Linked DNA regions of Ovis aries. The protein of the gene in region 1 purifies or fractionates together with the protein of each later gene. This does not show direct contact. Links are inferred from orthologs where the notes say so. Each region holds a gene or a part of one and is shown in the gene's direction. Other genes may lie near its edges. The genes, in order: PPP1CA, PDRG1, CDC5L, RASSF8, ADISSP, RUVBL2 and UXT.

Region 1 (4,044 bases):
CGGGGCGCCTCTGCAGCCAGGCCTCAGCCCCAGGACCTGCCCGCCTGGTCAAAGAGGACAGGTTGCAGGGCATCGCACCATACCCCTCTGGTACCCTCTCCTCTTGTGGGGTGGGGGTGGGGCACAGGCCCAGAGGGGCAGAAAGGCCAGGCCCCCTACCGGAGACCCAGGCCCAGCCCCTGTCCCAAGGGGCCCAGCTTACCTCCCTGCTGCACCTCACCTCCTCCTCTCACTTCCTCCTCAGCCACAGCTTCAGCAACCCGCTGAGGGCCCCTCCCAAGTGCGTGGTGGGGGGGGTTACCCCTTCCTCTCCAGGGCTCTTCCGGCCTGCCCCAGTAGCCCTGGGCCATGGGCTCCTCCCACCACCCCGGTGGGCTAGGTGGGTGCAGGCCTGGGTTCTTGTGCTGGGTGTGATGCAGCCAGGGCCTGCCAGAGGTAGAGAGGCCACGCTGCCTCCAGATGTGAGGTCACAGGCAAATAAAACACTCAATTCAGGGTTCCAGTGAGTATTACACTTTATTTAACGTGACTTCTTTTGTTAACGCTTTCGACAAGTCAAACAGTAAGTCATTACTGCGCTACTCAAAACACAACGACGAGACATTAAAAAATAGTAGTAATGGTGTAGCATGCGCCACGGGCAGGGGGACCAAAATGAGCTCGGCGTTCAGCGACAGGTGTCTGGGTATGGTCAGCCGCCCGCAGGCCACAGGGACCCTAGAGGTGAGAGCTCCTCCGTCAGTCTGAAGCCAACCCTTGCTATCTTTGAACCTGTTTCCTTTCCTGCACTTCGTGGATTTAATCTGCACTCTCTGGGGAGACCCAATGAGATATCAATGAGGTCACACCACCTTCTAGCCCGGGACAGAAATGGGAAGGACTATTGGGCCCTTGAAAGAGAAAAACAACTCCACACTACTTCCGGCCGCACATCCTCGGTGCAAGGGTGGGTAACTCCTCAAGGGCGGAACTAGAGTCGACCTCGCCCCGTGAAGCCCCGCCCCCAGTGTAGGCTCCGCCCCCGCAACCAGGTCAGCCCGAGCCCCGCCTCCCGAGCCGCCGCGGGCCCCGGGCCTGGCGTCCAGTGGAGGCGCTAGAGCGCAGGGGCGGCGGGCGACCGGGCGGGCCGGGGCGGGGCCGGGTGCGGCGGGGCGGGGCTGCCGGCAGAGGAGGCGGGGCGGCGGGCCGGGGCGGGCCCGGGCGGGCGGAAGGAGCACCAGGCCGGAAGGAGGCCGCGGGAGGGCGGGAGGCAGGATAGGGCCCGGAGGTGCTGGGCCAGAGCGGCGGCGCCGCCATGTCCGACAGCGAGAAGCTCAACCTGGACTCTATAATCGGACGCCTGCTGGAAGGTTGGCCGGGGAGGCGAGGGAGGTGGGCGCCCGCCGCGCCCTGGTCCCCTGCCCGGCCCGGAAGTGGCGCGCGGGTGGACCTGCCCCTCCCAGGGCCAGCTTTGACTGGGCGGGGACGGGCCGCGAGGTCCCGTGGCCACATCGTGCCCCCACCCCACCCCAGTCGTGGCGCGCTGGGAGGTCTGGGGTTGCTCCCCTTGCCAGAGCAGAACCGGGGTTGGCGGTGGCGGGGGTGGGCGCGCAAGGATTGGCCTGGGCTCTTGGCTGAGGGAGAAACCTGAGAAGCCTAGTCCCCCAGGAAGGGGTCCTGTGCTGAGGTTTTGGATGGCCTCTGCGCACAGCAGTCCCCTCGCGAGCGCCTTGAGGGCAGTTGGGGGTCCCAGGAGGCTCAGCAGCAACAGCTGCCCCTGGGCAAGGCGGGGCCGGGAGGCCCAGGAGCCCCTACCCAGAAGTGCCTTTGGGGCCACCAGTGACATTCACCCTCTTCTTGCCTGAGGAACCAGGGTCCTGACGCCTCTTTCCGCCCCCAGTGCAGGGCTCCAGGCCTGGAAAGAATGTACAGCTGACGGAGAACGAGATCCGTGGTCTGTGCCTCAAATCCCGGGAGATTTTCCTGAGCCAGCCCATTCTTCTGGAGCTGGAGGCACCCCTCAAGATCTGCGGTGAGCCCCCAGCCCAGGTCCCCGTGGCCTCCTGAAAGCGGCCTTGCCCCCCACCCCTCCCAAGTTTCTCCTCCCTTGGGCCCAACCCTGACCCTGGGTTCACGTTTAGGCTGCCCTAGTGCTGACCTGGTTCCCTGGGTCACAGGTGACATTCACGGCCAGTACTATGACCTTCTGCGGCTGTTTGAGTACGGCGGCTTCCCTCCAGAAAGTAACTACCTGTTCCTGGGGGACTACGTGGACAGGGGCAAGCAGTCTTTGGAGACCATCTGCCTGCTGCTGGCCTATAAGATCAAGTACCCGGAGAACTTCTTCCTGCTCCGTGGGAACCACGAGTGTGCCAGTATCAACCGCATCTACGGCTTCTATGATGAGTGTGAGTGGGCAGAGCATCTGGGCTGCCCTGGTCCTAAAGGGCTCTCCTTGCCATTCAGTGCGACCCTCGTGTTGACCTGGTGGCTGGGGTGTCAGCGTCTGACAAACACCTGCTAAGCTGAGTGCCGTGAAGGTAGCACCAGCCCATGCCACCCTCCCCGACCCTCCTAGAGCAGATCCTGGCACTCAGGAGGGACCTAGCCAGTGGCTGCTGGCTGAAGGGCTGCCAGGATTCTAAGGCAGGGCCTCACCTGCTGACACTCCCCTCCAGCGCATCCGATACTTAAGCACTTAGGATGCCTGTTGGGACTGGACTCTGTTAGACAGAAGCCAAGATGAACCAGACCCTGTCTCGACCTGGCCCTGCTCTTGTGCTGGGGGTGGATGCCAACCTTGAGGTCGTGCCAGAAGTGGAACTCTGGGGTTCCCGTGGACTTGGCTGCTTTAGAATTCTGTCTGGGAGGCAGTGGGGTAGTAGGGGTAGGGGGCGGGGGTTCGGTTTCCTTTTTTGCCTTCCATTCTCTCCTCCTAGCTGTGTCTGAACAACACACAATGTGTCCTGGAAGGCCTGGAGACCTGGGCTGAGGGTGGAGCAGAGGCCCTCTGGTGAGCTGTCTCCTTCCCCCTGGGCAGGCAAGAGACGCTACAACATCAAACTGTGGAAGACCTTCACTGATTGCTTCAACTGCCTGCCCATCGCTGCCATCGTGGACGAGAAGATCTTCTGTTGCCATGGAGGTGAGCACAGCTCTGGGCATGTGAATTCTTGAGCAGGATGAGCCTCCCAGGGTGAGCACCCCTGGGGACCTTGGGACAGAAGCGTCGGCTGGAAGATGTGTTCCCAGTCGCCAGGAACAGCTCTCCCTGGAGTCCTGGTATGGGTAGTACTTCTTCCATGACGTGCCCCCGCACTGCAGCATTAGGCTGCACCCACTGTTGTGTCATGGCCTCGCCTTCTTGCATGGAGTTTGCTTGTCCCCTTTCTCCAGGGCTTCCCTAGTGGCTCAGATGGTAAAGAATCTGCCTGCAATGCGGGAGACCCAGGTTTGATCCCTGGGTTGGGACGATCCCCTGAAGAAAGGAATGGCTACTCGCTCCAGCTTTCTTGCCTGGACAGTCCATGGGGTTGCAAAGAGTCGGACACGACTGAGCGAAAACACTTTCTCCAGGGAGCTCTGTGCTCCTTGAAGGGACAGGGACTTGGAAGAGGCAGAAGGTGATGAGTTCTGCCTTTGTAGGCTCCCAGGAATCCTGGAGAGGTGGGGGGCAGAGGCTGATTGGCAAAGGCTGCCTGGAGGAGGTGACCTGCCCCCTGTGCCCTCCAGGCCTGTCCCCAGACCTACAGTCCATGGAGCAGATCCGGCGCATCATGCGGCCCACAGATGTGCCTGACCAGGGCCTGCTCTGTGACCTGCTGTGGTCTGACCCTGACAAGGACGTGCAGGGCTGGGGCGAGAATGACCGCGGCGTCTCCTTTACCTTTGGAGCTGAGGTGGTGGCCAAGTTCCTGCACAAGCATGACCTGGACCTCATCTGCCGGGCACACCAGGTGGGCTGGCAGCCCCCATCTGGGTTAGAGCAGGGCTGGCAGCCAGCTCCTGCTGAACTAACCGCCTCCACCCTCGTCCAGGTAGTAGAAGACGGCTACGAGTTCTTTG
Region 2 (2,427 bases), on another chromosome or scaffold:
CTGTGTGCATTTTAATCTTTGCTGTGCCACTGAGTTGTTTCTTAATCTCTGAAAGGGGATATGTCTACATAGCACAGTTGTTGTAAAGTTCAGATAAAATAATATTTACCTAGCATAGTGCTTGTTTGTCATTGAGGAATGAGTTGGATTGCAAATAACAGAAATCTAGCAGTTAGGACTTAAGGAAATACAGTTCTGTTCATCCCATGTAAGAAGTTTTCCAGAGATGGGCAGTCCAGGACTGGCACAGCTGCTTAGCAGAGTCAGTGTATTCTCTTGGTTGTTGTGTCATGATTGCAGGCCTTGTGTCTGAGAGCCAGGCTAGAGGAAAGGTAGGAGGGCTTTCTCCATATATGGCCTTGCCTTCTGGTTTGGAAATAAGACCGTACTCCTTAGGGACTTCTGCTGATACCTCATTGGTCTAAGGCACGTGCTCATATTTTCACATCCCCTGTAGTAGCATCAGGGTTGAAGATAGAGGTTTAAGGAGGGTGAAGCTCTCGAGTTTGCCACACTAAGTAAGGTACACAACGGATCTCACAACCATGATCCTAGAGGCTCTTTGGAGAAAAGTCATGAAAGCAAACGGTCAGGCTGCAGATGGGTCCTTGGCTGGGATAAGGGCAGGTTACGCATGTTTTCTCTTCCTCACCCCTGAAAACGTGGGCCAAGAGAACCAGCAGCACGGTTGCCTCTGCCGCTGAAAACAGGGTAACTCTATCCCTGTTGAAACTGAAATTCTATCAAAGGAAAGTAAGTCAGCTTTGAGGATAAACTTCTGTGGAAAAACATCCACTAGAGACTTCCTTGTGGTCCAGTGGTTGAGGGTCTACATTCCAGTGCAGGGGACTCGGGTTTGGTCCCTGGTGGGGACCTAGGGTCCCACATGCCAAAGGACAGCTAAACTTACGCATTGCAGCTAAGACCTGACGCAGTTAAATAAATAAACATTTTAAAAAAAAAAAGAAAAGAAAGTGGAACATACACTATCATCATGGTTATAGAATTGAATTGTCACTGCACTTGCAGAGGGGCTGGAGGCTGCTCAGAGTAAGCTTCCAGAGGGCCTCGCCTGCCTGGGCTGAGGGTCAGGGCCCCGGCTCTCTTGGCCCACGAGTGTGGTCTTGTCACTGACCTAGAGGGGTTCCAGTGCAGCATGTCTGTTTCCCAGGGATGGATACAGGCTAAACAAAGGTCATGCGAGATGGTGGTTACTCATTTACAATGAGAACCAGAGCGACTGCCCAGGCCAGAATGCTTAGCTGGTCCTGGGTTACCACCATCAAAAAGAATGAAGGTCTGTAGGAAAGGCAAAAATGTCACTCACGAGTGGGTGAAAACAGCAGATGGAATTGGTTGGGTGTCGTCAGTTGGGTGCACTTCTCACGCTGCATCTGCCTTTGGGCACAGTCCATTCTGTAAGACAGCCTTCTCTCCCCTGCCATCAATTGGTTGGGTGTCATCAGTTGGGTGCACTTCTCATGCTGCATCTGCCTTTGGGCACAGTCCATTCTGTAAGACAGCCTTCTCTCTGCTGCCATGACCTTGGTTAAGAGTGAGCATGAGACAGAATGCTGACTGTTCAGCTCACAGTTCCCACAGTCCTGCTGTTGCAAAAACTCCTCACCTGGATGGATGTGGGTTTGTAAACTTCATCAACCACCTATTTTCCATCCATCTTCGAAGAGCCTGGGTCTGTTTATTCTTAAATCTGAATTTTCCATAATTTCATTGTGAAAGGGTGACTTAAAATCCTGGTATTGCCTTCCGCATCCACTGCCCAGGGTACTTTGCATAATGGAAACAGGTTGATAAACTGCAAGTTGGGAAAAAGTGTGCTCAACCCTGTTCTGGGCTCACTCAGTGGTCGGGGTAGGCCATGTCCCTTCTTTAGCCTTTAGTTTCTTCGTCAGCTGGTCTCCCAAGTCCCATTTTCATCCCCACATGCTCCGACCCCTGCCTTCAGTGGGGCTGGGCAGAGGCTGGTATCCTTGGGTCTGTCTGTAGTGTAACCTCGTCTTGTTTGCCTGTCTCTTTTTTTCAGATCAGGAACATCTGGATAAAGAAATAGAAAGACTCCGGAAACAACTTAAAGTGAAGGTCAATCGCCTCTTTGAGGCCCAAGGTATTGGCCTGGGGACTAAGCTTGGGGCCGGAAACAAGGGGGGGAGACAGTATGAGCACAGACTTTGCAGGCTGGGGTGGGCAGCTGGTAAGTGGCACTAAAGCTGTGGGAAGTGGGCAGGGTTGTCCTGAGCCGACCAGAGATGGAACGGACAGGAAGTTTGTGGGATCTTATTCCCGTTACAAGTTTTTTTCAGGCATAAGAATGGCATGGAGTGTCTCACATTTTATGCCAACGTGTGACTGTGGGGGCCAAGATACCTCTGACTAAGGGTCAGAAGGCCTCAGTCAGGTGGTCCAGGT
Region 3 (3,968 bases), on another chromosome or scaffold:
CTGCTATTAATATTAAGCCATGTAGACTGAAGTGCAATAAATGGAAAACTCTGACATGACTGTTTCTGGGACAATCTCTGATCACTTGAGCTTGCGCTTCTCGTAGTAACAGTTGCCATTTTTGTGAGCACTTCTTAGGTATCAGATACTACGATGGATTTACGATCTCATTTAACCCTTGTTAGTTGCTCAGTCCGGAGAAGGCAATGGTACCCCACTCCAGTACTCTTGCCTGGAAAATCCCATGGATGGAGGAGCGTGGTGGGCTGCAGTCCATGGGGTCGCTAAGAGTCGTACACCACTGAGCGACTTCATTTTCACTTTTCACCTTCATGCACTGGAGAAGGAAATGGCAACTCACTCCAGTATTCTTGCCTGGAGAATCCCAGTGACGGGGGAGCCTGGCGGGCTGCCGTCTATGGGGTCGCACAGAGTCGGACACGACTGAAGCGACTTAGCAGTAGCAGCAGCAATTGCTCAGTCGTCTGCCACTCTGAGACCCCATGGACTATACCCCGCCAGGCTCCTCTGTCTACGGAATTCTCCAGGCAAGAATACTGGAGTGGGTGGCCATTTCCTTCTCCAGAGGATCTTTTCCATTCAGAGATCGAAGCCGGGTTTCCCGAATTGCAGGCAGATTCTTTTACCACCTGAGCCTCCAGGGAAACCCCTATTCAATCCTTAGGAAAACCCTATGAAGTTGGCACTATTATTGTCTCTATTTTGCAGGTTAGGAAATTTAGGCTTAAATAAGCTATTGCCTCTCCCTGAATATTTTTTGAATAAATTCTTGTTCGTTAAATGCTTAATAAAGTGCTAAGTTAATAAATTATCAACGCTATTTTTAGACCAGCCGAGGTTAAACCCTACAGGAGTGACGTTCCTATTCTTTGCCACAACGTGACGTCACGACCAATCCCAGGACTACATTCCCAGCCAAGAGCCTCCGCCGACATCTCGCGAAAGCCGCGGTTTCTTCCAACCTATTTTGGGCATGCGCGCGGCTTCGAGTACCTTGGCTAGAGTGGTTTGATGATTTTCCGTCAGTCTCCCTAGAGTAGAGTTTTACCATCGAGGCACTTATTTCCTTCCAGTCACTCCAGTTCTCGCGAGACTTGCTACTCCTGCTCTTTCCCCACCCCGCCCCCGCGCTTGCGCAGAGCTCTTCAAAGCAGAAGGTCGCGCTTGGAGGAAGTGGCGGCTTTGGGTCCCGTGGCCGCCGCGCCGTTACTACTTCTCGGAAGCTCCGCTCGGCCGCTTGCCGAGACACCCCGCCGCCAAGATGCCTCGAATTATGATTAAGGGGGGCGTGTGGAGGAATACCGAGGTAAGTCCCCTTTTCCCGCCGTCTGCCCTCCGCCCCTCCGGCTGCGGGTGCGCACGCGCGCAGAGGTCCGGGAGGTGGAGAGGATGCCTTCGGGGTCTGCGTGGGGGGTGGTGCGGGGCCTTTACCCTGTGCCTGGACCTCAGTTATCTGAGCATCTCAAGGACAGGGACCGTGATTTAACCGCTTGATTACCTGCGGGGCACTCGTTAGGCCCTCAGTGAACATTTGTTGAGCTGACGCGTCCTCCGCCGTGGTGGAACTCACAGTAGGAGGGGGACACAGGACAATTGCGATAGTCGGTCTTCTAAGCCCCGCCCCCCGCACCCCACCGTTCCTCATCCCAGGCTCCGCGACTCTTTGCTGTTGAAAAATGAAGAGGTGCTGTGGCCACAACTTTGTTCTTTCCTTGAGTTCCTTGCTGAGGGGAAGCAGTTTGAGTGCCAGGTCCTAAGTACCTGGTTGTGTCCGCGTCCCCGCGGTCATGTTACCACGGCGTAACTTGTCCGCCCTCCGGTCACCCAAGGCCTGTCTCTTCCGCTTCATGTTGGGTAGAAGCCAGATAGGCCTACCATAGTCTCTTTGCTTCCAGAAATGTAGTGGATCGTGCCATTGGTGAACCAAAGAACAGTAGAAGAGTAAAATAGAAACAAGGTTTTAGTGCAGTTTCTGTTTATAGTGCCCTGAACTTGTCAGTTTCCCCAGAACACTCTGTCTTTTTACATCTTGCACCTTCTTGAAATATCCTCCTACTGCTTGGCATCTTTCTGACCTTCCTTCAAAAACAGTTCAGAAACTCTTCTGAAATTGGTCCAGAAGACCCATCCATTTGCCTGGTCATCCGGTAAAAAGTATTTGCACCTGCAATGGTCCCTGGACACCTCTTCTCATCCATTTGTTATGGTTTGCTTTTTTTTTTTTTTTGCAAGCATCACATCCTGTTTGATGCTGGGATTATTAACCTCTCAGAGACTCAGGTTTCTAATGGGGATGATAATAATATACTTATCTCTCGGAATTAAATGAGTCACTGCATTTGGAATATTTAGAACAGAGTCTGGCACATAGTAATCTTTCAGAAAGTACTACCTGCTGTTTCTTTTCCCCAGTAGACAGCACTGCAAGTGCGCAGGATCAGATCTTGCTATCTTTAGAACTCCGGACAGTGCCAAACAAAGTTTGCTTGGGAAATTTTGCTGAATGGATCTAGTAGGGTGTATAACTGTAGTATATACTTAGTTGAAGATGTGATTAAGTATAGCAGTACTGCAACAAAGTTACAAATTAAGTCAGTGAGAACCTTGCCTCTCAGCTTGCACAGAGGGGACCAGGCTGTTTCAGTTGGAGAAGAGATGACTTCTGAGGGAGAGACAGATGTACCAAATCAAGTAACAGCAGGATTCTGATGCTGTGGCCAAAGCCCTGCAGTCCTTGAGTCTCAGATGTTAGGGGTGTGGAGTGGCGAGGAGTGGCTAACATATGAGGCATATAGCTCAAGTTCATTGTGGGGAAAAAACCCTAAAAGTAAAATGCCCTGAGTGCATTCATCTATGGCTCTGATATCCCTGGTGTCTTTGGTTTAGCCTGACAGGCTCCCTTGGGATTGGTGAATTCTTTATTGGAATGGGTGCCCTGGTGAAATAGTATCTAGAGACTGGGGGGAAATTAGAGGCAGAGTTGATTGGTGACTTAGGGGAGACGTACTCAATTCTTAGGTTAGACCTGAGATATGGATTCTTAGGTGAGAGTGGGGGCTGTGGGACTGGAGAGAAAATGCTGTTCATAAACTGGGAAGCCTCAATTGGAAATTGGATTCACTTGAGTCTTGACTTTTTGAGGGCTGGATGTGTCCTGTTTTATCTTGTTTTCTCAAGTATTGATATACAAGACCTGATACAAGGCTGGTGTTTGGGCAGTATTTTTTGTGAATCAGTAAATCAATGAGCCATAATCTTTTTAAGAGACTAACAACCACACATTGGAGAATTCTTTTTAAAATCTCTGTCAAGTGGGGTTTCTCACATTGGGCTGTACCCACTCAATTTTTGGATGGGATTGGGGGAGGGGTTGTGTGTAAGGGAGGGTAGGATATCCTTCTAAGGGAGTTCTTAATTTCTTTCATTTTGTTGATTCTGGGTTGCTGTTTTTTTTTAAATTTTTATTATTGTAATGAAGTTTTATACTTTTGTTTTAAATTTAGGATATACGTGCGTGTTTATATCTCTTTCTCCCTAGTACAACCCAGTTAGAGTTAATTTAAATCTTGTCTTTTCTCACTTGGAGTTTTGTGAATGAATACATTGTTTTTCCTTTGAAAAAATTTAGGATGAAATTCTGAAAGCAGCGGTGATGAAATATGGGAAAAACCAGTGGTCTAGGATTGCCTCACTGCTGCATAGAAAGTCAGCAAAGCAGTGCAAAGCCAGATGGTATGTATCAGCTAATGAGTGGAAAACACAAAATGACCTTCATTATGATGAGGAAAATGTCATTTCTTTGAACCTTACCAAAGAAAAGCAGGCACTGTGATGTAACAGAAAGTAGGGAGTGGGAGTTGGGAATTTCAGTGTGAGAATTAGCTGTCTTTTGCTTCGTAAGTGGTCTTAGGCAAGCCATTTTCTGTCCCCTCTCTCCTGCCATTGTT
Region 4 (4,192 bases), on another chromosome or scaffold:
CAAATGGGGACATATAATCCCACTCAGTGTATAATATTCCAGTTGTCGATGGTCAGTTACTAAGTCGTGTCTGACTCTTTGCCACCCCATGGAGTGCGGCATGCCAGGCTCCTCTGTCCTCCATTATCTCCCAGAGTTTGCTCAAATTCATGGCCATTGAGTCGGTGATGCCATCCAACCATCTCATCCTCTGCTGCTCCCTATTCCTGGCCCTATACCTAATATCTGCCCTTCTGCTAACATTAACAGTCCACCTTCTACCAAATTTGAAATGAAGATTTACTTTGTTCATACTCTAATTTCTCTCTTCTTACAGAATATGAATTATTATACTTGTTAAAAGAATTGGATGTGCAGCATTTATTATTACTCAATATATGTTACAGTTCTTTCAAATGTTGCTGAATGATTCTAAATTATTTTATACTAATTATTCTTACTATGATCATATAAATCTCACATTTTAAATTCGTTGTGGGGCTGTTTCCTTTCCAGGAACTATAAACTGTATTATTGTCCATGACTGGGTCCTTGATAAGGAGGCTCTGGTTAAACCAGCAGTGTTATAAACAGATCAGATTTCCAGTTTGCAATTAATAAAAATATATAATTGAATACATGAAGGCAAAGCAGAAGATAATTTAATCTTGCTGCTATAATTCAGAGTCATATGGGATCATCATTATAAACCCCAATTATAGCACTGGAAACATGGAGGGAGTTGGTGAGTGGCTTTCAGGCTGAAAGAATGTCAGACAGTTCAGATTTTACTGCATATATTTACAAAGGTACAACTTCATAACATCAAGCACTGCATTCACTGTTTTTCCCCAATATTCTAATCCCAGTACAGGCTCTTGCTGAGCTAGTCTCAGCTGACTAAATCTACTCTTCTAGCCTATAATTAAAAAAATAAGAAAACTTTCATGGTATTAGCCTCTCAAAAACTTCTACCTAAATAAGAAGCCAATCACATTTTAAATCCTATTTCTAAATATATTTGCATTTATTCCTTTTGATATACCCTGTTATAATTTCCTTTTATAGTTTATGCTTTTTCTTTTCATACTGCTTTTCACTGTTTAATAAAACATATTGATCGTCATCCTCCTGCCCCATCATGTTATTAGAGGGTCTTTTAAGGAGCTGTTTATGATTTGGTATCTAAATGTTTTATTATTTTTTTAAACAAGAAACTATCATTAAATTAAAAATTCTTATAGATCTGAGAATTGTTGGTTGTTTCTAAAAAGGCCCTTTATGTTGGTCAAGTAAATCACAATAATTATAGATCTTTGCTGTGTTTCAGTATGTGTACAAGATTTTCATTAGGAAGGATAAAAAAAAACATATTTAATTGCTTTCTACACACATACTGAAGAGAGATTTTATTTTTTTTTCCTTCTAAACTTGTAACAGTGACTAAATGCAGGCTTGGTAAGTTTCTGAAAAACTCTAAATGATCCTATTTGTACAAATTTTAGTAGATGACCTCAGGCTTCTAGGTGGCCTTGATGTCACAAGACTGGAGTTGTAACTCCAGCTATTACATCTGTGTTTTAGGCAAGAATAGTGCTTGAGTCAGCCATGCTCATAAATGAGGACACACAAATGAGTTTTCCTGGAAGGCCCATACAACACCTTCCGTGCACAGGGCCAAAACTTAGTAGCCGCTATCTGCAAGGAAGGCTGTGAGAGAGAACTTCTCATTGAGCACAAAATCAGGTTTCTATTTCTAAGAAAGAAGTGGAGAAACAGAATGGGATAGGCAACTAGCATTATTTGCCTTTTTTCCTCTTTTGGGCTTCCCTGGCAGCTCAGATGGTAAAGCGTCTGCCTACAATGCGGGAAACCTGGGTTCGATCCCTGGGTTGGGAAGATCCCCTGGAGAAGGCAATGGCAACCCACTCCAGTACTCTTGCCTGGAGAATCCCATGGATGGAGGAGCCTGGTAGGCCACAGTCCATGGGGTTCCAAAGAGTTGGACACGACTGAGCAACTTCACTTTTTTTTTTTCCTCTTTAGCACCACTTTTCTCAGATGGACTGTGAGCTCACAGAAGGCTGAGATTATGTCATGTCAATTTGCGTTAAGCTCAGAACCTAGCACAATACCATATTTATTATGTTTCTGCTATGTTTATTATTTAAGGAAATGGAACTCTCTGCTCGTTATGCATTAGAAAGATGATCCAAGGCAAATATAACATGAGCAGGTGACATGAGTTTACTGCATTTATACTGTCATTCATTAATTTCACTGTTATTTCAACTCATATTAATTGAGCTCCCAGTCTGAGCCAGGCCTGTGTCATGCACGGGGGATACACAGACAAATACAAGATAGCCCCTGGCTGTACGAAGGGGATGGGGGAGCGAGGTTGGGGAGCAATTTCAGGGTCACATGGTAAGAGAACCTAGGAGTGGTCCTGAGCCACTGGTTGAGATTAAAGTACTCTGGGTAAAACACAGAGTGTGATGAAGGAGGGGGAAAGAAGGAAAAACAGTGGAGTTAGAAAATAATGGGATGTCTAAGTTAAAATCCACAATTCACTCCTTCCAGCACACATACCTTCTTCGAGACAAAAATGTTTGTTTCTCTCTTGGGACTTCCTCCCAACACACGTGGCTCTTAATGGATCTGACCCACTGACAAGCTTCTTCTGGCCTAAGCCATAGACACGACTGTGTTTCATGGGCCTTATCTGAGCACAGTACAACTATCTTCCCAGCATCCCATCTTCCAAGGTGGTGTTCTGGTGGACCAGTTTGGGAAATGCTGGCCTAGATACATATTTCTCCAGCTTAGCCATATGATTCCATAGACACAACAAAAAGAGTTGCCAGGGATTTCCAGAGAAAGGAATTTATTTCCATGAACTGCACATGTGAACTTAGTGTGTTAACACCTTGGGTTTCAGGTATATAGGTCACCAAAAGGAAAGAGGTTTTATTGGACTAATGAGGCATCATTTCAGCAATCACACAGTCAAAAAAGCTATTCAGATAACAATTTCACTAGTAATGAAGACAGTATCTTTTCTTTCTGCAAATAATTCAGTTCATGACATATATGGCTAGAAATGTATCTTCATCAATTTCTACTTTCTTTGCCTACCCCAGAAAAAGAGGTGTCTTCCTAACCATGAAGCAGAAGTCATAAAAGAGAGATTTGAAGATTCCATTCTGTGGCCTTGAAGATGCAGAAAGAGACCATAAGCCAAGAGATGGAGAAACTAGAAGAGGCAAATAAGTGGATTTTCCCCTAGAGCCTCCAAGACAAACAACAGCCCACATTTTGATTTTGGGATTTCTGATCTCTGGTGCTGCAATAACACATTCTTATAGCCTCTAAGTTTGCAGTAACTTGTTTACAGTTAGCAGCAGGAAACTAATAAAACATACAACATAACTCTAGGTGCTTTTGACTAGTTCATTCACACTGATTCAGGAAAGAGGAGACATATGTCTCTCTCCCTTGGGATTCTCCTCTTTTCTGAATCCACCCTCTCAGATTCTTCTCTTGCATATAAAATCTGACTGTGTCACAGGGCTTTAAGTGCATGAATACTCACTTATTCAAGTTAGGTTACTTTCAGGGAATATAATTAGAGACCAGAAATAAAGGTTGTTTACAAATCCTGCCAAGGACATTTGGTGTGATCTCAGGAAGGCTTAACAGGGATGTGATTTACAGCTAAGAAAGCTCAAAACAAATTATACTATATGCTGAACAAAGAATGAATTAACCACATGGGGCTAAGGTAGGGAAAAGACTTGTCTCGGTTTATCCAGGCTGGACAATGGTAAGTTCACTGGCATCTGTAGCCACCAAGAGGACAACACATGGGCATGAGGACACCTCAACAGGTTCCTGGATCCTAGCAAGTGCTTCTCTTAAACAGTGGACACAGTTACTCAATCATAATAAATTTCATCTTGATTTACATGCTGGTCGTATGAAAGGTGGTTGTCATGAGTCAGTCAACTTGTTCACCTCTGGACAAATGATAAAACCAAGGTCAGCACCCTCCTGGTGATCAACAGAAACAAGATTAAGGTTCTTCTGCTTGGTAAGAGCTGGAGCCCAGGTTCAACAATAATCACACCCCATACTGTTATCACTCATCCCTGTTTCAGGACCTCCATAAAAGAAGGATGACTATTCCAGCAAAACAAGGGAGGCAGGTTCT
Region 5 (3,588 bases), on another chromosome or scaffold:
TTTCTCCAGGGAAATACTGCAAGTGGTGCAGCTGGATCACAGGGTACAGCCAGTGATTAGCAAGTACAGCCAGAAAGCCCTCTTGAGAGGTGTGCCCTCTTTTAGCAGAGTGTTGGAGCCATAGGGACTGAGCTTTATCACACAGTGACATCATCCTGATCCTACTGAAAGGCTAAATGCTGCCTCAAAGGACAGGGCCATCCATTTCCTGAAACTAAGCAGGAGAGCGTATGCCCTGTGAGCTGTGGATACGGCACCCACATTGCCCTTCCTGGACTGGCACTCCAGTCAGCCTACCTGCCCAATAGCTACCCTGGCCTGTGACCCGTCACATGACTGAGTTTCTGAGGATGGCAAAGCTGTGTGTATGAACAACAGAAGTTTCCCAGGCTGTGAATCAGGGCTGTTGGACACAGTGAGCCTTTGAATGGACAGGCATCCATGTTCATGTCCCAGCAGGGCAGGCTGGATTCCAGGTTCCATGACTGGTGCCAGTCTTGTGGGCGAGCCCTGGACAAAGCTCGTCTAGAGTCTGTTTTTATGATTCTGACCCACCCTGCATCTTGTGCTATCTATGTTGCCTGGTGGCCCCACCATGAGTGACCAGAGGACCAGTGTCCCTGGGCACATGCTGATAGTGGTGGGGGCAAGTGGATAGCCTGTGTAGTGGGGTTTTGAGCCTTCCCTGTGGGCAGTGGCTGGTGCCTTGCTGTGTGGCAGAAGTAGCCAAGAGGTACAGGGAGGACTATAGCTCAACCACACTGTGGCCTTCAGCCAGTCATTTCCTGGCTTCTATTTAATCATCTATAGAATGGGCCACCAAGGAACTTCAGGGCCCATGAGACAGATATGGGACAAGTGATAGGGGTGGGGTCCTTGAGGAAAGGGCCTGGAGCTGCCAGGCCAGGGGTGTGAACCAGCTAGAATGATGGAGGGAGTCAGAATCCCCTGGGATTGTCAAGGACGCAAGTGGAGGGCCCACAGGATCACCAGTGGTACAACCCGGGCGGACCCTGGGGGAGACTGTAAGTGAAGGTGCCTCCATCCCCTACCCCTCCTGCTGCAGGTTGGCTTCCTGAAGATCCTGCACAGGTATGAGATTACCTTCACTCTACCCCCAGTGCACAGGCTGAGCAAGGACGTCCGAGAGACACCTGTCCCCAGCCTGCACCTCAAGCTCCTCAGCGTCATGCCCATCCCAGAAGGTGCGTCCCCTGCTTGGGGTGCTGGAAGCTTGCCCTCCTCTAGTAGAGCCTGGGTGTGAGTAGGAGTGACAGCATGGGTACTTCCTTCCCCCTATCAAGGGCTGATGGGTGGCTCAGAAACCAGGAGACATGATGCCTCTTTATAGGCCTGCTGTGTGGCAACTTGGCAGGTCCCATGCCCCAGCCCTCACTCCTGGACAGAAGTCCACGGGCTCATACAACTGACCTATGTCTGTTCACAACTGACCTATGTCTGCTCACCGCCTGATGGTTACTTCAGGGGGATGGTGGGAGCCCTCTGAGGAACTGCTCTGGGCCTCTAGCCCTTGCTTTGCCAGGGGAAACCTACTGGAACCTCAGGAACTTTGGGCAGCTGCCTCCCAGCCCCCACCAGACCTGAAGTTGCTTTTCCATACCCTGCCACCTTCAGCACCCCTCCTCCCAAAGGCTAGCGAATCAGTTTCACCATTTACAGAAACCCCAGCTTCAGTTTCATGTCTCCCCTACCTCCACTTCATGACTTTGCCCTTAAGTGGGTTGAGCAAGCCTCCTCAGGTCTTTGCCTCTTGCCACCTGATCTGCTCAGTCCCTGCTCTGCTCCTCCCTCCCTCCCCCATCACCCTCTCTCCCTGCCTGTGTTTTTGGGGAATCCCACCTCTTGCAAGCCTGAGTTTGACTTCTGGCCTACATGTAGAGCTCATTGAAGAATGGCAAGTTCCAGAGGCCTGTGTACCCAGCCCTGGGGGCAGGGGTGGAGGGGAGTTTGGGCCATCCTTGCTCCTCTAGAGGTCTTGGTGGTGGGTGGGGAACCAGTGAGTGCTGGGGGGCAGGAGGCCACAGAGGTGCTGATCGCCCCGGGCAGGTTACAGCGTCAAGTGTGAGTACTCAGCGCACAAGGAGGGCGTCCTCAAGGAGGAGATGCTGCTAGCCTGTGAAGGTGGCCCCGACACCTGCGTGCGCGTGATGGTGCAGGCACGCGTCATGGGTGAGAGCTTGAGGCCTAGGTCTGGCTAGAGGAGGGAGGCACCAGCTTGGCTACAAGGAGTTTCCACCCTCCTTGAGCCTGAAAAAGGGATCCTTGTTTTGGCCCATTCCCAGTCTCCTTGGTGGGTGCCTTTCTCCCCATCCTCTAGCAGAGCTGGGAGGGAAGGTAGAGGAGTCTCCTTGGAGTAGGTGGGGCCAGGGTCCACCCTGGCATACTGACTTGTCGCCTGTCTTGCAGACCGACACCACGGCACACCCATGCTGCTAGACGGCGTCAGGTGCGTGGGTGCTGAGCTAGAATACGACTCCGAGCATAGTGACTGGCGCGGCTTCGACTGAGGCCCTCGGTGCCACCTGCCTCAGGGCCCTCGGCCTTAAACCCAGCCTCATCCTCCAGATGCTGCATGACGGTGCGGCTTCCTCCCCCTTCCCCAGGGTGGGTGTGCAGGCGGAGGGTCCATGGGCCTCTACGCTAGAGCCTTGCCCACGCCTCTCACCTCATTTAATGTGCCACCTCCCTGCCCCTCCAACGTCCTCTTCTCCCACTTTCTCCTGTGTGCCTCAGCCTCCTGCTGGAAGAAATGGATTGAGCCCCCAAGGAGGCTATCTGAGGAGGGCCAGGGGAAGGCCTGGGGTGGCTTGTACCCACCCCCACCCCAGCCATAAGGGCTCCAGTCAGAGCCTAGGGGAGGAGGGAGCTGGCTCTGTGGTGGAGCTGCCCGTTACTACTGCTGCTGTCTCGCTTTAGCCACCTCTCTTGTCTACTCCGTTTTTTCCACTGCTGTCCACGGTGAGGAGGGAGATGCAGTTCCCAATCCCTACCCCCTAGGTCTGTGTTGTTTTTAAATGACTGGTTGGGATAAAGTCCTGAAGAAATAAAACTTCCAGTGGATACCAGAGGCCAGCAGGGTGTTTGTTCTCCAGGGCCCTGAGAATGCCCAGTCCTTGCAGATGGGCCGAGGAACAGTTTTGGCTACTTACTCTTTTTGTGGTATTACAGCACCTAGCCCCAAAAAAGGTATGTGCGGGTGGTGGCGTTTTAGGCCTGCCAAAATGAGAGTCTGCACAGGGAGGGGTCTTCCACCCAGGTCAGAGAGGTCTTGTGGAATGGGTGTTCAGTTTGGGAGGCTTGACCAGAGGCAGCAGCACTCCTTTCTAGTCAGTTCCCAGCCCCATGCACAGCTGAAAAGCTCCCTTTGTAGAACCTAGCCACCCTAACCCTTCCACTACTCCACTATTGGAGTCTCCCCTGTGAGGTACCAGAAGGGTATGGTTTCACCTTGAGTTTTATTGTCACCTTAGGGTTCTCAGGCAGGTGGGGCTGCTGCATGTCATGGGAGGGCAGGTACACTAAATTGATGACAGAGCTGGGACCAGTGCTCTTTCTGTCCTCCCTACC
Region 6 (3,500 bases), on another chromosome or scaffold:
GCATGGTGGGCCAGCTGGCGGCCCGGAGGGCAGCCGGTGTGGTGCTGGAGATGATCCGAGAAGGGAAGATTGCTGGCCGGGCGGTTCTCATTGCTGGCCAGCCAGGCACTGGGAAGACAGCCATTGCCATGGGTAAGGTGCTTCTCCAGGCAGTAGCTCTTTTGGCCTCACCGGATGATCCTCCCATGTAAGTCAGGGTCAGGTTCAGCCATGTCTAACAGACAGCACAGAATGGAAGTGGCTTAAACACTAAGGCTTTCTTCTGTCACATAGAAGAGTCTAAACATAGGCCAATTCAGGCTTGTTAAGCAGTTCTATGAGGGCTCCTACCTTCTTGCCTCGAGATCACTTGCTTCCATGTCAGGGACACCTTGGGTTACAAAAAGGTGGCCTATGCTCCAGCCATCCCACCCATACTCCATATAAGAAGAAGGAGAAAGGAATTGTAATGAGGGTGTACCTCCTAGAGGGAGCTCCTTTTAAGCAGCTGTCTCAGGGCACCCACATTCTCTTGCTTATATTTTATTGACTAGAAGTTAATGACCACACTCTACTGCACAAGAGAGAGAGAGGCATTAAAACTTTTTTTTATATTTTAATTGGGACTACTGTTACCTTACTGAAATGGGCGTTCTGGAACAAAGGAAGATGTGAAAGATGAGCATTGTATAGACAATCAGCAGTCTCTTTTGCAATTCATTAGTAATTTAAAAGCTTTTTACTCACAACTGTCCCTTATCCTTGTTGAGCTCTTATCTGTCCTTCAAAACTGCTCTCTGACATCTTTTCCTTGTTGAAGGTTTCCTGGAGTCTCTTCCCACTCACTCTCACCTTTGTGCCTGGACTGTGGGGCCAGGCAGTGAGACTCAAGGCAACAGCTAGGTCCTCAGTTAAGAAAAAGTAACACTCATATTTGGGGACACCAAGATGATTAAGACCAAAGTCCTGACTTTAAGGGGCTTCCAGCCTGGGGCAGGTGTTAGTGGACACAGTCCCGTCCATGTAGAGAACAGAGGAGGCTTCTCCTCCGATGAAGGGTGATGGGGAGAGAATGGGGTGGCAGTTGTCAGGAGGGACATCCCAGGTGAGTCAGTACTGGAACTGAGACTCGCAGGAAGTCTGGGAGTCTCCTGAACAGACAGTACGGAACATGATACCCAGGTGCAGAGTGTGGCATGCCTCTGGAAAGGGGACCAGGAAGAGTTGCCACCTCGCACTGGTCAGGAGGGTTCAGTGACTTCCTGTCTGGGAGACTTGGCTCAGAGCTGGGCAGAGCCCCCAGGAAGGGGAGCTGGCAGAGAGGCCCGGAGCTTGGAGTGATGGCAGGAACTGCCCACTGTCTGCCAGCTGACCCCAGGCCCCAGACCATAGAGGAGGCCCTTCCCTGTGCTGGTCCCAGGTCACATATCGGGGTCCCGGCTGAGCACCAGGGCATGCCTGCCCGCCCTTATCATTGCTCCTATGCAGCAATGTCGTTCCCTGCCAGCGCTTGTTATGTTATGGTTCCCATTACCCAGAGGGGCAGGCTGGCTTGGGGAGCAGCTTAGGCTTCTTAAGATAACTTGGTGCTAAGCATTGAAGCCGGGATTCGAACCTGCACAGTCTCTTTTAACCTCTTTCAGCCCCTTGCCTCCACCCCTGCTCATCCCCCCCAAGCCCTGAGGCTAAACAGCTCTCAGAGGTTGGGAGGCAGGTCCAGCATGACTGTAGAGTCATAAAGTTTTTGGTCTGGGCAGTGTGGGGTTCCAACCCAGGGCCTCCCAACATGGCCCGCCATCACTCACTTTCTGCAAGTCTCCCTGTCTGCCCCACAGCACCGAGCCCCTTTTTCCTGTCTGAAGAAGAAGAGCTGGTTAGGGAGATGTGAGGACCTCGTGCCTGGACCACCTACCCAAACTGCCTCCCCTCTTCCTCAGGCATGGCGCAGGCCTTGGGGCCCGACACCCCATTCACAGCCATCGCAGGCAGTGAGATCTTCTCCTTGGAGATGAGCAAGACAGAGGCACTGACCCAGGCCTTCCGGCGCTCCATCGGCGTGCGCATCAAGTAAGCAGGAGTAATGGTAGCTCCCAGCAGCCTTGGGACGCCACCTGAGGGATGCCAGCTCGTCCTGTGCCCAGGGGCCCACAGGGGTGAGCAGTTCCTGAGGGCCCAGGCCGCGAGCTATCTCCTTAGATCTGTTCTCTCGCCAGGGAGGAGACCGAGATCATCGAAGGGGAGGTGGTGGAGATCCAGATTGATCGGCCGGCCACAGGGACGGTGAGTGTGCTCCCAAGTCTAGGCTACCCCAAGGGCTGGGGGTGGGTAGGGTGTGCTGGGTCTGCACTGAGGTCAGAATCCCATGGAAAGTTCGAGATGCAGCTTAGAGTCATCCATATGCCGGCAAGAGAGGGTCGGTTGAATTGATGGCGGTTTGTCCGTTTGTGAGGGGCACAGTGAGCTAAGTGGTGGAACAATGGAAAAGGATATGGAAAAGAACATATTTATGTCTAACTGGATCACTTTGCTGTACAGCAGAAATTAACGCAATATTGTAAATCAACTATACTTGCCCCAAAAAACAAACCAAGCAATGGAATGACGGAGGAGGTCTTGAAGTTTCTCACAGTTAATTCCTAATAGTTAGGCTTACAGACCCGTTGGATTTATAAATCTTAGTACCTCAACTGTACTAACAGTACTAACAGTAAGAATTAACAGGACTTCCTGGTGGTCCAGTGGTTAGGACTCCGCAATTCCACCACAGATTCAATTCCTGGTCAGGGAGCTAAGATCCTACGCGCCTCTCAGCCATAAAACCAAGGCAAAGCAGAAGCAATATTATAACAAATTCAATAAGGACTTTAAGAAATGGTCCACATCCAAAAAAAAAAAACTTTAAAAAAAGATTTAAAAAAACCCTAAAACTTAGCCAGCACCTCCAACCCTGCCCCTTCCTCTGCCTCTTTCCACAGTACCCCATAGAAATAGCCGCCCTCACCCGTTGGAGTTTCATTAGCTTTTATCACCCAACTGTGTATTCCAAGACTGCCCATTTTAAAAACTTATATGTCTTTTAAGTCTTCTGTCATAGTCTGGTTTCCCCTTCATCTCTTTCTCTCTCTTTCAGTTTTTCTGTAGGTCTGTTTTTCACTGACATAAAATCACACAACATAAACTAACCATCAACCCTTTCAGAGTTGCTCCTCCTCCCCTCCCACGCCACCTGCAGTCCCTGGCAACCACAAATCTACTTCCTGTCTTAATGGACTTGCCTCTGATGGAATCTAAGAATATATGACTTTTTGTGTATGTCTTCGAGGTTCAGCAGTGTTTGTAGTTCTCTGTTAAATATTAAGTTACAGGTGTTAATAAAATGCAAAATAAAAGGAAGTCTAAAATTGCTTCAAATCCATTGACCTGATGCACAGTCCTACCTTCTGTTTCTGTGTCTTGCAGGAACACCCTCCTCTTTTTTCATTAGCTTCTCATTTTCAGTGGAAATAGACTTAAAGTGAATA
Region 7 (3,953 bases), on another chromosome or scaffold:
AAGATAACCTATCTTGGGCAGAGGACTTCAGCAACCCTCTATTTGACGCCCCAATTAAATGACGTGATCAGCCATGAAATTAAAAGATGCTTTGCTTACTCCTTGGAGGGAAAGTTATGACCAACCTAGATAGCACATTCAAAAGCAGAGACATTACTCTGCCAACAAAGGTCCGTCTAGTCAAGGCTATGGTTTTTCCAGCGGTCATGTATGGATGTGAGAGTTGGACTGTGAGGAAAGCTGAGTGCAGAAGAATTGATGCTTTTGAACTGTGGTGTTGGAGAAGACTCTTGAGAGTCCCTTGGACTGCAAGGAGATTCAACTAGTCCATTAAAGGAGATCAGCCCTGGGTGTTCTTTGAAAGGACTGATGCTAAAGCTGAAACTCCAATACTTTGGCCACCTCATGAGAAGAGTTGACTCATTGGAAAAGACTCTGATGCTGGGAGGGATTGAAGGCAGGAGAAGAAGGGGACGACAGAGGATGAGATGTCTGGATGGCATCACCGACTCGATGGACATGAGTTTGAGTGAACTCCGGGAGTTGGTGATGGACAGGGAGACCTGGCGTACTGCAGTTCATGGGGTCACAGAGTCGGACACAACTGAGTGACTGAACTGAACTGAACTGATTAGACATAGTGCGTTATCAACCTCTGCTTGAACTCCAGTCATGGACTGCGGGCTACAGAGCTGGAGTCGTCAAAGGTGCATATCAGAAAATTTGTCTCCTTTTCAAAACTTATGTTTAATGCTGACATTTATTTCCATTATTGAAAGTCAAACCCAAGCTTCCCTTGTGAAAACTCAAAATCCAGGGCGATGCAAGGATATACTTTCCTTTTTACAGACCACATTCATAATCTTTTCTTGCCCGGCTGCTTCTGAAGCTCTGACTTTTAAACACCAAAAGCTGTACTCGCTCTGTGTGTACCGCCACCTCCGGCACCCGCCAAATCCCATTAAACCCCACCCCCAGCAACAGTGCACTATCCCCATAGGCTTGTTGCGCAGTCCAGGTTCCCACGCTCTTCAGCCTTTCTTAATCAGCGGATTTCTTAAAGCCCCGCCCTTTCCTTCTCTCCGGCGTTTTTTTCCGTTCAGGACTGCCTCACCCACCCTGGTTATTTGGTTGGCCAGCGCCCCCGCCGTACGTCATTTACCCGCGCCACCCGGAAGCCACGGTTCTTACTAACACTTCTTTTTGCCGGCGGCTTTCAGGTAACGGCAGCGCTTGGGTGTCCCTGTGTGATGGGGTCCCAGAGCTGGGAGGGGCGGAAGGCTGAACCCTCGGCATAAGCCGGACGACTCAACTCCCAACACTGAAAAGGTGCAGTTGCACTGTGCTTGAGACCAAACTGAGACCAGTGGTCTTCAACGTGGTCTTTCTCCCTCCCCATTCCTCAGGAGCCCATCATGGCGACGCCCCCTAAACGGCGGGCGGTGGAGGCCACGGCGGAGAAAGTGCTGCGCTACGAGGCTTTCATCTCTGACGTGCTGCAGCGGGACTTGCAGTAAGTGACAGAACGGGGGGCGGAGCTATTGGAGCGGTCCACGTGGTGAGCGGGGCGTTCGAAGTCAGGGCCTGGCCTTCTGATTGGTGGGTGAGGCGTTCAGAGCCCGGCCCCGTGCGCCATTCGAGGAGGAAGGAGGGGCGATATCCGGGGTGCAGCGTCGGGTGAGGAGGGAGACTTGGTGATTTAATGGTGCCTGTGTACGCGCATGCGCGGCTTCCGATGACCTTAAAGGGTTAAGAATTAGAGTTCTGAAGCTGGAGTTTTCAGGTTCGAATCCTGGCTTGACCATTTTGCTTTCCGTGTGAATACATACTTCGCCTCCACTTGCTGTGCCTCAGTTTCCTCATCTGTGAAATGGGGAAGTTAATGCAGCCTTCCCCACGGCAGTGGGTTTGTGTTTTCAGTGTATTCAGTCCTTGTAAAGGGTTTAACTTGGATACTAGAGGCTCAATGAGTATAAAAAATTATTATTACTATCATTATTAATCAGAGCAGGAAGGAGAGTGTTCAGGTCTAGGATTATGAGCTCCTAAAAGAGATGGAGGATTTTTTTCTAGGGTGAGAATGTCATATTCTGATTGGAGGGAGGCATTGGGAGTAGAGTGTAATAATACTTGTAAATAAGAGCTAACTCATATAGAGAAATTTGTTTGGAGGGCACTATTCTAAATGCCTTATAGTAAATACTCATTTAATCCTCCTAATGACTCTATGAAGTAATACTCCTCATTCCTATTTTTAAAATGGGGAAATTGAGTTCCAAAGAGATTACTCACTTGCCAAAGTCACACAGCTAGTAAAATGGAAAGCCTGGATTCAAACCGAAGCAATCTGACCCAGAGGCCAAACCTTGACTTCTGCACTAAAATTCCTGTTTAGACTCTGGTGACAGGAGAGTCTCAGGGGTTCATGGTGTGAGATATTCCAAGAGGGACAGGGTTTCCTCTTGGTCACCATTTTACTCTTGTCCTGTCATGTCCCATCAGAAAGGTCCTGGACCATCGCGACAAGGTATATGAGCAGCTGGCCAAATACCTTCAACTGAGAAATGTCATTGAGCGACTCCAGGTAAAGATGCCAGGGTTAGGTAGTCTTTTTGTGGGCAAAGGAGGGGGAAGAGAGGAGATACCCAAGACCAAAACCTGTCACCTGACCTAAAAGTTGACCACTGATCCCTACCTCTTTTTCCCTGGCCCCACAGGAAGCTAATCACTCGGAGTTATATATGCAAGTGGATTTGGGCTGTAACTTCTTCGTTGACACAGTGGTGTGAGTATCTACCTGCCCCTCTGAGCCCACAGGGTTCAGCTTCCCTTTTCCTTCATTCAGCAAATACTTTTGTTAGTATTTGCTATGAACCAGACACTGCTCGGTGCTGAAGATGTGACAGTAAATAAAATAGGACAAATTATCTGCCCACCCTGACCTTCAGTTTGGGGAAGGTGGAGGATGGGGAGTAAAATAAATATTAAACTGTGTAGTATGCTAAACAGTGACAAGGACTTCTCCACTTCTGATCACCACTGTTTCCTTAGCCCAGACACTTCACGGATCTATGTGGCCCTTGGATATGGTTTTTTCCTGGAGTTGACACTGGCAGAAGCTCTCAAGTTCATTGATCGTAAGAGCAATCTCCTCACAGAGTAAGTCCATTGCATGAGGATACTGTCTAAAACAACACCATTTGTAACATCCTTCTTCCCCCTTTCACCCTGGCTACCTGGGATGGTACCTAGGAACCACTTTCCCCTCTCTCTAGGGGAGAGAACAGTGGGGATGCAAAGCTTAGCCCCAGGTGTAGCACATAATAAGTACTCAATAAATGGTCTCTGTATTGTTCACTCACACAAAAACTTATTGGGCATTTGCTGTATGCCAGGCTCTGTGCTTGGTGTTGGGGAGGCAGTATGAACAAGACAGAAGAATTCCTTGAAAGCTTACATTCTACAAGGGCTATAACTATTACACATCAGCACAGTTTTGACCAGATCCTGGAGGTCTCAGCCTGTAAATCAGTAACAGTAAAACAAGTTACCTCTGACTTCACCTTCTGCTAATTTTCCTGCTCATTCACTGTGCTCTCATCACATTAACCTTCACAGGCTTCTTTAAATGCCCACAAAGTGATCCCACCTCAGCACAACTGCAGTAACTGTTCTCTGTCTGCCTACAGCACTTTCCCCCCGATATATGCATGGCTTCCTTTTTCCTTATTCACTTGAAGTCTTGCTTAAATGTCACTTCCTATAACCTAACTTGAAAATTGCAACCCTTGCGCTCCTGATTCCCCTCCCTTGTTCTACTTTTTCTTTTTTTCTGTAGCACTTATGACCTCCTAATGTTTACTGTGTGATTTACTTTTTTATAATGTTCATTGCCTGCTCCCATTAGGATATAAGCTTTGCAAAGGGAGAGATTTTGTCTACGTCTCAAGTCA

The links.
Region 2: the proteins of PPP1CA (region 1) and PDRG1 purify together in Homo sapiens (affinity purification with mass spectrometry; 4 studies listed by BioGRID and IntAct, counting the BioPlex papers as one, with this or other methods). This does not show direct contact. The link is inferred for Ovis aries from reciprocal best matches to the Homo sapiens genes PPP1CA and PDRG1.
Region 3: the proteins of PPP1CA (region 1) and CDC5L purify together in Homo sapiens (affinity purification with mass spectrometry; 3 studies listed by BioGRID and IntAct, with this or other methods). This does not show direct contact. The link is inferred for Ovis aries from reciprocal best matches to the Homo sapiens genes PPP1CA and CDC5L.
Region 4: the proteins of PPP1CA (region 1) and RASSF8 purify together in Homo sapiens (affinity purification with mass spectrometry; 3 studies listed by BioGRID and IntAct, counting the BioPlex papers as one, with this or other methods). This does not show direct contact. The link is inferred for Ovis aries from reciprocal best matches to the Homo sapiens genes PPP1CA and RASSF8.
Region 5: the proteins of PPP1CA (region 1) and ADISSP purify together in Homo sapiens (affinity purification with mass spectrometry; 4 studies listed by BioGRID and IntAct, counting the BioPlex papers as one, with this or other methods). This does not show direct contact. The link is inferred for Ovis aries from reciprocal best matches to the Homo sapiens genes PPP1CA and ADISSP.
Region 6: the proteins of PPP1CA (region 1) and RUVBL2 purify together in Homo sapiens (affinity purification with mass spectrometry; 4 studies listed by BioGRID and IntAct, with this or other methods). This does not show direct contact. The link is inferred for Ovis aries from reciprocal best matches to the Homo sapiens genes PPP1CA and RUVBL2.
Region 7: the proteins of PPP1CA (region 1) and UXT purify together in Homo sapiens (affinity purification with mass spectrometry; 5 studies listed by BioGRID and IntAct, counting the BioPlex papers as one, with this or other methods). This does not show direct contact. The link is inferred for Ovis aries from reciprocal best matches to the Homo sapiens genes PPP1CA and UXT.

What each region holds. Positions count from the first base shown.
Region 1 is NC_056074.1:41,699,855-41,703,898, reverse strand, and holds the start of PPP1CA (serine/threonine-protein phosphatase PP1-alpha catalytic subunit), read left to right. Parts: upstream 1-1,244; 5' UTR 1,245-1,294; coding exon 1,295-1,349; intron 1,350-1,879; coding exon 1,880-2,011; intron 2,012-2,156; coding exon 2,157-2,387; intron 2,388-3,019; coding exon 3,020-3,124; intron 3,125-3,711; coding exon 3,712-3,935; intron 3,936-4,016; coding exon 4,017-4,044. Other genes in the region: TBC1D10C (carabin), read right to left, coding at 1-73. UniProt on the Homo sapiens protein: Protein phosphatase that associates with over 200 regulatory proteins to form highly specific holoenzymes which dephosphorylate hundreds of biological targets.
Region 2 is NC_056066.1:61,134,451-61,136,877, reverse strand, and holds part of PDRG1 (p53 and DNA damage-regulated protein 1), read left to right. Parts: intron 1-2,044; coding exon 2,045-2,226; 3' UTR 2,227-2,427. UniProt on the Homo sapiens protein: May play a role in chaperone-mediated protein folding.
Region 3 is NC_056073.1:17,846,986-17,850,953, forward strand, and holds the start of CDC5L (cell division cycle 5-like protein), read left to right. Parts: upstream 1-1,168; 5' UTR 1,169-1,282; coding exon 1,283-1,327; intron 1,328-3,649; coding exon 3,650-3,753; intron 3,754-3,968.
Region 4 is NC_056056.1:189,611,432-189,615,623, reverse strand, and holds the start of RASSF8 (ras association domain-containing protein 8), read left to right. Parts: upstream 1-1,392; 5' UTR 1,393-4,192.
Region 5 is NC_056066.1:51,162,602-51,166,189, forward strand, and holds the end of ADISSP (adipose-secreted signaling protein), read left to right. Parts: intron 1-1,066; coding exon 1,067-1,205; intron 1,206-2,067; coding exon 2,068-2,190; intron 2,191-2,427; coding exon 2,428-2,528; 3' UTR 2,529-3,088; downstream 3,089-3,588. UniProt on the Homo sapiens protein: Adipocyte-secreted protein (adipokine) that acts as a key regulator for white adipose tissue (WAT) thermogenesis and glucose homeostasis at least in part through activation of protein kinase A (PKA).
Region 6 is NC_056067.1:55,305,493-55,308,992, forward strand, and holds part of RUVBL2 (ruvB-like 2), read left to right. Parts: coding exon 1-132; intron 133-1,916; coding exon 1,917-2,046; intron 2,047-2,192; coding exon 2,193-2,259; intron 2,260-3,500. UniProt on the Homo sapiens protein: Possesses single-stranded DNA-stimulated ATPase and ATP-dependent DNA helicase (5' to 3') activity; hexamerization is thought to be critical for ATP hydrolysis and adjacent subunits in the ring-like structure contribute to the ATPase activity.
Region 7 is NC_056080.1:57,168,961-57,172,913, forward strand, and holds the start of UXT (protein UXT), read left to right. Parts: upstream 1-1,153; 5' UTR 1,154-1,220; intron 1,221-1,406; 5' UTR 1,407-1,415; coding exon 1,416-1,513; intron 1,514-2,502; coding exon 2,503-2,584; intron 2,585-2,717; coding exon 2,718-2,785; intron 2,786-3,051; coding exon 3,052-3,159; intron 3,160-3,819; exon of another isoform or gene 3,820-3,953. UniProt on the Homo sapiens protein: Involved in gene transcription regulation. Acts in concert with the corepressor URI1 to regulate androgen receptor AR-mediated transcription. Together with URI1, associates with chromatin to the NKX3-1 promoter region.